Neodiprion lecontei: one gene and its partner. The main gene of each other region encodes a partner of the protein of the gene in region 2 in a complex. Links are inferred from orthologs where the notes say so. Each region holds a gene or a part of one and is shown on either strand. Other genes may lie near its edges.

What was found.
Region 1: COP9 signalosome complex subunit 7b (region 2) and COP9 signalosome complex subunit 5 share a complex: the UniProt entries of both Drosophila melanogaster proteins name them as parts of the CSN complex. The link is inferred for Neodiprion lecontei from reciprocal best matches to the Drosophila melanogaster genes CSN7 and CSN5.

The regions. Positions count from the first base shown.
Region 1 is NC_060264.1:28,330,508-28,335,947, forward strand, and holds COP9 signalosome complex subunit 5, read left to right. Parts: upstream 1-2,048; 5' UTR 2,049-2,183; intron 2,184-2,495; 5' UTR 2,496-2,515; coding exon 2,516-2,667; intron 2,668-2,837; coding exon 2,838-3,072; intron 3,073-3,206; coding exon 3,207-3,401; intron 3,402-3,493; coding exon 3,494-3,940; 3' UTR 3,941-4,716; downstream 4,717-5,440. Other genes in the region: transmembrane protein 65, read right to left, coding at 519-942, 1,121-1,207. UniProt on the Drosophila melanogaster protein: Probable protease subunit of the COP9 signalosome complex (CSN), a complex involved in various cellular and developmental processes.
Region 2 is NC_060261.1:43,244,842-43,250,491, forward strand, and holds COP9 signalosome complex subunit 7b, read left to right. Parts: upstream 1-1,859; 5' UTR 1,860-1,874; coding exon 1,875-2,014; exon of another isoform or gene 2,015-2,203; intron 2,204-2,329; coding exon 2,330-2,987; intron 2,988-3,124; coding exon 3,125-3,325; 3' UTR 3,326-4,897; downstream 4,898-5,650. Other genes in the region: arf-GAP with coiled-coil, ANK repeat and PH domain-containing protein 2, read right to left, coding at 535-592, 1,188-1,240. UniProt on the Drosophila melanogaster protein: Component of the COP9 signalosome complex (CSN), a complex involved in various cellular and developmental processes.

The DNA of each region.
Region 1 (5,440 bases), on a different chromosome or scaffold from region 2:
CGGGCGGTATTGGCGTCAATGACGCGTCAGTGAGGTCATATCCACCTGGCTACCCATCCGGGAATTACACCTCGCTTCGGACCTGACATGACTTTTCTATATGCCTGAGTACACACGCACGCACGTGTTAAAGCCGCGCGTAACGTAGCAACGGTGATTTTTCGACACGTGAGAAAATTAGGAATATCCATAATACTGATCTACTATTACGTATCTTTGTTGTGAATTTTTTTTTACATCTGCGGAGTCATTAACAATACCAAATTACTCAGGGTATCAATTTATAGGATTTAGAACAACAATACAGACATATTATCGTAAATGAGTGAACACGGAACGGGTAAATCGCTTCGACATTAGAAAGAAAGAAAGAAAGAAAGAAAATGAAAGAAACGCATGTTTTATGTATAACGAGGTCGCCTCTCTTTCTCCCCGATTCGTCTTGGCAAGCTACGCACTACATTTATCACAGGGGGCAAATACATCCAGTGACATCGTCGAATCGGTATCATTCGTACCTTCATACTCTGCTTTTACTTTTTGAGACTGAGTTTCCTGCAGTGCCGATATGAGCACGTCCCTCTCCTCGGGTGTCAGGCGTACAGCGAGATCCCTCGCCTGTTGCTTAGATAAAATCGGCGGGGTCTCGGGGGTCTCGACGTTCCGTGGAGCACCAGCAGTAGCAGTACTTGTGGTAGCTGTAGTAGCCGAGGGGGAAACCCCCGTTGTCATAGATGCCCGCAATCGGAGGTCCGTTGACCCCCGTGACGTCGGTAACATGCGCTTATTCGGAGTCCTGCAGCACGACGACGAGCTGCTCGAGGATTTTTTAGACATTAAATATAATTCACTGCCACAGCACATGGTATGGGAATAATTGTCATATATCGACAGTTTTCTCAACGTTGATGCACCGATTCCGGGCCCAAACTTCGCCAAACACTGCAATGACGTCACAGGTCCACTCATTCTCGTTTCGAAACTTTTTACTCTACTCTTTTGATTTTACAACCAATAATATATTCATTCGCTTTTCAATACTATCTATGCGGCACCTATTTATATCTATGGCACTCTTTATCGACTGAACATTTACGTTGCACGCTCGAACACAACTCACCGACTCTGCGAATCTGGGCTCACTGACTGACTGACTGACTGACCGGAGTCTAGATCCCCTGCGGTGACCTACGCTCTCTACCGGCATCAGCCGCTCGCGTCGATGCGACGACTCCTCCCCCTCCCCCTCCCCCCACCCCTGCCCTACCCATTCTGATTCGTCGGTGATGTATACATATTCAAATTTCCTGGATGTATGTCCACGGAGTTGATCCAATTCCCTGTTCTGCGATCCCTTCATTTCTCGGATGAGTACGTGGGATTTTCGATTCTTCCTTATGTATTATTAGTATATAATAAATTTCTGTCTTCGGTTTTCCCTATTCTTCGTAGTTTAATGCCGTAAGGCGGGATCCAAGTAAACCAAAATGAATTGAATAGAATTGAGTACGTCCAAAAACGCAGTTAATTAGAATTAATGCAAATTGAAATGTTTTATGGGCTAATTCTTTTGAATTTGTTATAATTCATGTTAATTCCTATTTTACCGTGTGCAATTCGATTTAGTTTACTGGGATAACACAACTCCGGCTATGCTTCCATATTTGCCGTATTTGACGAAATGGCAATAAAAAAATTAACGTGTATGAAATATCCAATCTGCAATGATATCGTTCAAACGAATTTTAATTACAACTGCGATAACTGATACAACGAATTAAAACCTTTTTAATTAATTCTCAGTCACGAATGATTCACGCAAAAGCAAATCGCGCAATGATAAAATTTCATTCATGATTCCGTTAAAGAAATGAATTGTAAAAGGGAGTAATAAAATTTAGAGTACGCAATATAAGTACAACACTGATCAGTAATCTCTGCACAGAAAATACACAATGAGATGACTAATTTCATGATGAGTCTCATTTGTTTTTCAATTTGATTTACAGCGCCCTCAGAGCGAGCAATTCGTGACGGATTTTTTTTGAACTAAGCATCGACAACAGTGACCCCTACTGCAAAACTAGTGGATATGCGAATTCGAGAAGATATTTAAGTTAGGTTTGTTTACGACCGTCGAAGAGTTTCTTTTCGAAAAGATTATTTTCAAGAAGTATATACGGGTATGGATTTTAGTCAACTGTTCTGATCCATAGTTTTCTACAGTTTGGCTAACTACTCTGTCGATATTTGATACGAATTTTTATAATAAGTTTACTTTACATAAACTCAACTGCCGCACCGTATTTCTGTTCGATATTCACATTTCACGTTTTTGCGAATTATTTTCCGTTAAGTTCTCCACAAATAATAAAAGCGATCAATTTATAGTCATCCATCCATCCATCCATCCATCCATCCATCCATTTATCCAGCGGTATTAGGCAGATAGAAAAATCCGTTTATGTTCATCAAATGTCAATTTCTGTTTCCAGGATAAAGAAGATCGTTAATAATGGCAAGCACGTCGAGCGATCAGTCGTCCACGGCACAGAAAACATGGGAAATGACAAATAACGTTGAGACCATAAGCACAGCAGATGAAATCTATCGATACGATCGTCAGGAGCAGCTTGATATACTCGCTGCGAAACCATGGGAAAAAGAGTATGAACTATGCCTGCTCAGTTATTTCAATATCCGAGAGAAAATCCACTCATCAATCTATACTGAACACGTCTGCAATTTTTTTTTCGTGTTTTTACCATATCCGTCTCTAATTTAGTAATAACTATCAAGTAACTGATCTATTATTGACTAAAATTTGATCTTTTCAGTCCTCACTTCTTCAAAGACATCAAAATATCGGCGCTAGCTTTGCTGAAGATGGTTATGCATGCCCGATCCGGCGGAACTCTTGAGGTCATGGGATTACTCTTGGGAAAAGTAACGGCGAATACTATGCTCGTCATGGATTCGTTCGCTCTTCCCGTTGAGGGTACTGAAACTCGAGTCAATGCCCAGGCCCAAGCATACGAATATATGACCGCTTACATCGAGGCTGCTAAACAGGTAATGGTGAATCAATATTTTTGGGTTGTAAAATGTGCCAAGACTTTCACCTCCATTGGCTGAATCAATACTGATACATTCTACAACTGTATTACAGAGTAGACAAAAAAATGGGACTGACGACATTTTTTCAGGTTGCCCGTCACGAAAATGCCATCGGTTGGTATCACAGTCACCCGGGTTACGGATGCTGGTTATCAGGAATTGACGTCTCCACTCAGATGTTGAATCAAAATTTTCAAGAACCATTCGTAGCGATTGTAATTGACCCTGTTAGAACTATTTCAGCTGGAAAAGTATGCCTTGGAGCTTTCAGAACATATCCCAAGGTTAATATAATAAATGATTTGAACACAATTACTAGGAAATTATACCTGAATTTTTTTGATTTAATTATTTTCGTGCCGTTTAATTCCCACAGGGTTATAAACCACCCAACGACGAGCCATCAGAGTACCAAACAATACCGTTGAATAAAATCGAAGACTTTGGAGTACACTGCAAGCAGTACTATTCCTTGGAAGTAACGTATTTCAAATCCTCCCTTGATCGTCGACTGCTTGATTCTCTCTGGAATAAGTACTGGGTTAACACGTTGAGCTCGTCCAGTTTGTTGACGAATGCCGACTACACGACTGGACAGATATTTGATCTTTCCGACAAACTGGAACAGTCTGAAGCAGCACTTGGTCGAGGAAACATGCTCGCCGGATCTAATGATCCTTACGACCGTCGGAGCGAGGACAAACTCGTCAAAACGACAAGAGATAGCTGTAAAACTACAATTGAAGTTATACATGGTCTTATGGCTCAAGTTATCAAAGATAGACTTTTCAATCAATTTGGAACCGGCAAAAAAGACTCTTAAGCTTATTTTCTCTTACAGTGCAGTTTTTCTATTGTATACCTATTATTAAAAAGATAAATAAATAATAATATTGTGATTTGCAACAAATTTACTATGTTCAATACGAAAATCATTCCAATCATAATGAGAATATTACAAATCAGAGGTGATAATGTAACTGGTTACCAAATCGTAACTACTTCTGTCCCTATACATTATTTTATTTAAAAATGCAAAGTTTACTAGATGTCAAAATTTTTATAAGAATCTGTTATGACTTTGTAGTATCCTACTCCACATATATTCCAATGAATTATGACTTGTACAGTTGAAGCTGCTGAGTTGCAGTAGTATATTCATGAATTCACACACAGGCACAAACTTCCCAATAAATTCATTTTGTCTTTCAGCGCAGTGCTTTTAAACAGTAATTACAGTAACAAGTCAAAGTTTTATGTAATACAAAGTAACAGTATTCAATTATTGTGGAATAAAAATACGTTTTATTTTCACACCTTGACTCACTAAAAAGTATATACAGCATCTTTATCATTATCCATTATCATTGTAACCGATAAATATACACACATTTACACATAGGTATGTATATACATATATTTATAAATGCGTATATATTTATATAAAACTCAAATAATTATGAGAACAAGTAGGCAGGGTTCATCCCTATTGGAGGGCTGAAACTTCTTTGTCAACATAATCATGCATACACTCAGTTACACGTATCCTGCAGATTAACTGCAATCACCCGTTACGAACACAATTCACAAGGGACGGACCTAATATACGAAAAATCCTAACTACCGATAAAATCGGTGCAATAGTGCATGTCCACAATCCTTTGTAACCAAGCAGTAACTTAAAGTTACAAGATTAATATGTTTTTTTTTTGTAAATTTATCTTTACAATACTTTAAGTACAACCTTGCCATTAATATTTAATTGCCAATTTCCAGGCACATATATGATTTCTTTCAACTACAGCTCAACTGACATCATAATTACCTCTCTCTGCCTTTCGATAAACAACACTTAAGCAAATATTGAAGCAAAATCTTTTTTTTTTGAATTTGCAAAAGTGCCTAACGCAACGATGTAAGCATACAACAGCGATAAAATAAATATTATACGTATTCATACATTATATTAAACGCGTGAATTAGCGATTCATTGGTGCAGCTAAATGAATATATAATAACAAATATTAAAAATTATAGTCCAAATACAGTAATAGTGGAGACGAGGTACGATAGAATTTAAATGTAGCAGAATCCAGAGAGAGGAAAAACTTGGGATTGTCAGGGGGATTCGGTACAATACAATGCTGTAATTTATAAAGGGAATCCTCGGTCTTCAAGACCTTAATAGTTCCCGCATTTGTTACGTACATACGTATAATTTGGGATGTAAAATTATGACATGAGTAGCAAATGTTTTAATATTCAGTCCTCAGCCCTCCAATGATAATAATTAATCAAGGATTCTACGTCTAACAAGGATTCT
Region 2 (5,650 bases):
GCAAAAGCTTATAACTTTATGAAAGTGTATTGTTGAATGATTCAAACGCTGTATATTTTCAATTGAACGTTAACAGAACTGGACAAGTAATGTAATGCAGAAACAACTTTTAAAGATAACAACAGGATATCCTGTATAAATATTCACAGGTCATAAAATGGGTTGAATAGTACCTCAGAGCTTTTTTACAATACATCAGTTAGGTTTGATTCAAAACAGAGAGAACGTGTTTTATTACAAGGTTGAAGTTAGTAACGTTATTGTAACGAAACATTGGGGAAGAAATCAGTATTTTCTTAATTTTACAATGATTTTTCAGGAACTAAAAATTCGAAATACGAGCGTGTTTTGTTTTATTACCGTTTACTGAATTTCAGACAATTCCAAAACCATGAAATAATGGTTTTTTGTCAGCATGAATCGTTATGATAACATTACCAACTTCAATACGATGTTTTATTCTCAAATGCTTAATAAAGGATAAAAGGAAGTTTTAATTCGACAAAATGGACAATCGAATCCGCACTTGCGTACCTTTTCTAATTTTTGTTCTAGCTGCTCTACATTGCTTTCTTCTTCCTCGATGCGTGATCTGGAACAAATAACATAGCAACAACCTGACAATTTTTTCAAACATTCGTTTGGAGGGAGGGGAGGATAAAATTGTATCGACAACAGATTAGCCGTTTTCTACATAGGTGTAAAAGGTAGTGGGTTTGTTTGTTTTATTCATTCTCATTAACAATGGATGAGCGATTCTTCCACATTGAGTGTCGAAATAAATTTCAGAAGCGATAACACAGCGTAAATACGTCGCAGAGACAAAGGATATTTTGTCTAAGGTAACGCGTAGACAGAAACGAGCGAATGTACAAATATAAATTTAGTTTTCGACAAAGAGAGGTTAAGCCGAACATTTTTACGTGCGTGAATACGTAATGCTTTACCTACGGCATACGTATAGATATACATACGTATGTGTGAGAAGGATATTAAATATGTGACGTGCATAAATCCGTGGGTGAATTTCTAAACTGTTTACTATGATGATTATAATACGTTTCTTTCTCTTTCGTTTTCGTTTTGCGAATGAATTACAGGCGACGCATATGGCATATCTGTACACGAAAGTAAAATCTGTCAAGGTTGGGTGTCCACGATTCGCTGTAAAAAGTGATTGTTCTCACCGAAATTTTGGCGTATCCCGTAGGCATTCCTCAAACTCAATTAATTTCGGCATTTTGAAACAGACGAAGAGACACCTCCTGTCACATTCGGATTTATATCCGTGATGTTGATACGTTAATAATATTTCACGAATATGCTGTCACTCTCGCACAACATTTTCATTCAGCTATTTATTTATTTTTCACACAAGCTCGTGGGTAATTACTCGTGAAGAATAGAAAATGAGTGAAAAATAAAATCATGCAGCGTGATACTTGTCAGAGGGAAACCACAGTGCGGACAATCGGTCCCCAATCCCCACTTTTTCGTCAAATAAATAATGGAGTAGACTTGTGAGTCGGCCGCACTCGCTCGGGTCGAGGTACGGAGCACACGTGAAATCTGAATAACGTGAATCAGTCGCCAGAACGACGCGCGGAGAAAACCCGAACAGAGTATGTCGGGAACGGCAGAGGTATTTACACTATTTACGGCCAGGATTAAGAAATTTCCTGTCTTACCGATCGTTGGTAAGAACTCAACAGAAAAATCGCGATCGGTAATAATAACGGACTTGTGGATATTGGAAAAGTAAATAGTCATCGGAGTTTGCGAATTTTTTCATATGAACAAACGCCTAGGATCTCTGTTATTTCCGTTTTTGTTCGTAATTTACGCACATAGAAGCACTTACCATTTCTGTCGGTATGTTAGCTAGCCATGCCGGAACTACAGAATACATACTGACACGAGTTGTTTTCGCCCAGTGTTTTCGCCTTTATTGCCAGTTAACGGCTGTGGGCTTAGTGGTTGTGTTTCAAATGACAAATGAAAATCCGTCAAAGGGGTAAAGCAATACGTGCGCATAAAATCGTTTTTGTAGGCGAGAAACGAGTTGATAAGCGGTGATATTCCTGGGAATTGGCTAGCATAGAATTGCATAAGTGATATTGATTATTTCGTACGTTAATTTGTGTTCGTCGTTAGGCTTGGCGTTCTTCGGGCAGCCGAATTCGAGGTTAGCGTAGTTAGTCTGGTGAGATTGTGACCTCACTGACTCCTTACTTGAATCGAAATGATTTTTCACGATGCCGCAATCGACTTTCGCATTTACCCAATACCATTAATTGTCAGAAATCAATCGAAGATTCCTTTTTTTCAGATTAGCGATGACGGGTGCGAGTGTAACTGAAAAAACATCCACCAACAACCCCTTGGAGCAGTTTGTCCTTCTGGCTAAAACTGCTAAAGGCGCGGCAGCGGTGGAGCTGATAAAGCAGGCCGTTGAAGCACCTGGAGTAAATGTTTTCGGGGAGCTGCTGGATATGCCGAACATAAAAGAATTGGAGAACGGACCGTACGCCGAGTATTGGAACACATTGAACCTCTTCGCCTATGGCACGTACAAGCAGTACTTGGCGAACAAAGATAAACTGTTCCACCTCACACCCGTTCAGAAAAAGAAGCTCCAGCATTTGACGATAGTCACGCTAGCCACGAAATCAAAGTGCATACCTTACTCCGTTCTGCTAGAAGAGCTTGACTTGAAGAATGTCAGAGACCTGGAGGATCTGATAATCGAGGCTGTTTACGCCGATATTATCCATGGTAAATTGGACCAGAAGAATTCACAGCTAGAAGTTGACTATGCTGGATTAGGTCGGGATGTCAGACCCGGTGATACCGGCGCCGTTGCAGAAATCTTGACTGCCTGGGGTGAGGCCTGCGACACGGTACTGAACTGCATTGAGCAGCAGGTGCTTAGGGCCAACAGTGAAAAACAAAAGGCAACTCAACACCAAGAAAAACTTAAGCAGGAGGTAAGTCAATTGGCACAATCCCTTAAGCCAAACCTGCTCGTGTATTTGGAATTCCAGCACTAGCACGTTTATTCACTCATTTCACAAGTCCCGCCTTTCTCAGCTTTTAAGTCTGATCAAAAATCTTCCTCTTGCAGATCCAAGCCGTAAAAAAATCAATCACAGCTCATACAGTACGTGGGGTTGTCCAGGAGGCAGATGTCGCTGGTGGCGGGATCGAATCTGGATCGGGAGGAAGCGAAACGAGCCGAGAAGCCGTGCCTGTTCCACCAGATACTAAAAAGAAACAACAAAAACCAAAAGGTATTCGAGGCAGTGGTAAGTTCTGGAAGACTTAAAGTAAGTAACAAACGGATAAGTGCAGATCTCTTGAGGCCTACTTCTTATCCACGGATCGGTGATACTCTTGATATTTCTACGAAGAAAAAAATGTCATACGTGTAAGTTTCTAATGACTGAAATTAACGAATATTCGTATGCACAGGATGAAGTGATTTCAGGGTGGCCGCTTCTCTGGGAGAATCGAGAACTTTTATCAGGAAACTGTTTTCAAGTCTTGGGATTATGTCATGTTCACATATCGAAAATAAAAAAATACAAATAAGTTGGCTGTGATTTGTAACTATTGTCGTGTACTTTGTTTTGCTGTGGTCAGCAAACATAATTTAATTTGTCGTTTCTTGTTTTCATTGAAATCGTGACTTAACACCTCTGTTTTTTTTTTTTTTTTGGAAAGTTGATGCGTTGTGATCTCCTTGACAGTCAATAACTGAGACTTTTAAAACGATGCCTACACTTTGCGCAACACTGCGGAAAAGAGACAAAGTAATTTTTGAGAAAAAAAAACAATCAAGCGGCCACCCTGAGTGTCGTAAAATAATTGAATAAGTTCTGAAGTAGAATGACCGAGGGATCTGTGTTATTACGTTGTTTAAAGTGTGATGAAAATAATGAAATCAGGGATCTTTAAGAGTATAATAGAACGTAATTGTATTTTACAATGCCAATTATTACGTTGGCTCGGATTTTGCACGTCGATATTTAAGAGACGTAAGTTGTATATATTATTAAATATGTAAAATGAACTGCTGGTTCAGGATTTTCATTATTAAACCGTAGTCACTACTTCACAAGTTACAGAAAAAGCACGACTAATATAATATATATAAATATGGAATCACTATGAGCCATGTTATTATGTTTATACTAAAAAAAGCCGTTGTTAAACGAAGAAATGAAAGAGAAAGTTGAAAATACGGAAAAAGTTTTAACTTTAGTAAGGTTGTTTGCAGTCGTGAATTGGAATGAAATTTTTAAACGATTGATTTTATCTTCAATTTTTGGTATCGCTAGTTACCTAGATTTATAAAGTACATTCATTACTCTCACTTGTTTTACCCCGCGACGTTTTATAAAATTATAGAATATAAAAGTACGAGATTATTCTTCAACATCTTGTGGTTCAGTGATGTTATTAACGTTTCGTCGAACCATTTTTGTTTTTTTGTTTTTTAACTATCTATTAATATATTCGAATGGTGCTAATTAACGGATACATAAATATTTAATTCAAGATATTCAACGAGATAATTTTAATCAACTACGCGATGTATGTAAAACCTGGTGAAAAGTAAAAGTAGAAGTGAATATAAGCAAAACTGAGGGGAAGATGTTGCCAAAATTTGACATAAAATATGCTAATCAGTTTTACTTATTTCGGTTTCTATCCCGCGATGTTTTTCGAGATCGAATCATCAGCCATACATTAAGTATTGCAGAAGGAGATAAACAAAGTATTTAGTAAATAGGAAAACTTGAAAATACGTAATCATAGTAAAATAATATAATATGTATTATAAAAGTCACAGTGTTATGTCAGACAGATATTAAAATCCACTGATTTGTTTCGATTTTAGTTTTATAGACAAGAGCCAGTTACAAGAGGATGCTAATTCGGAAGGATATGTATTACAAAAAAAAAAAAAAAAAAAAATGAAAGAAACAGAAACAGTTCGATATCGATCAAAGAATTTCTATCTCGAGATGTAATCCTTCGCGATACATTTATCATTTGTATCATTAATACCAAATGCTGCATAAACATAATTATTAAATTACAACATTAGTTACTATTTCCATATACTGATATATATCATTTTGTTACTTACCGAATGAATGGATAATATTATATGATTTTCCATTTTATAAAAAAAAGAAAAACCATAAAATATGTACCTTTTAGTATACAACAAAACATATGTTCATATAAAAATAACACAGTGCATGCTGAAATCTTTGCAAAATGAATGATGTAAATCCAGTTGTGTTGTTTTGTCTTGCAATTGGTTAAAATTCAATTGTTCTTGTTTTCGCGGCGAGGGATTCATCCCTACAATAATGGACAAAAATAACGATAATAAAGAAATAATTGTAGTAATTCTATACCGCAATAATTCAGGGTATACAATATTATACCTATGTATATGTATGTATGCTTATACAATTTCTTTATATATTTCTATCACTACGTAGGCACTTCTTTCACTTTGCTTTTCGCGAACGTACGTTACTCGCTTGTCTTTCTATTGTCGCCTAGATTGAAATAGAAAAACAAAAAAATAAAAAGAAATGTATACTTATGTGAATGTAGGAATAATGAGAAG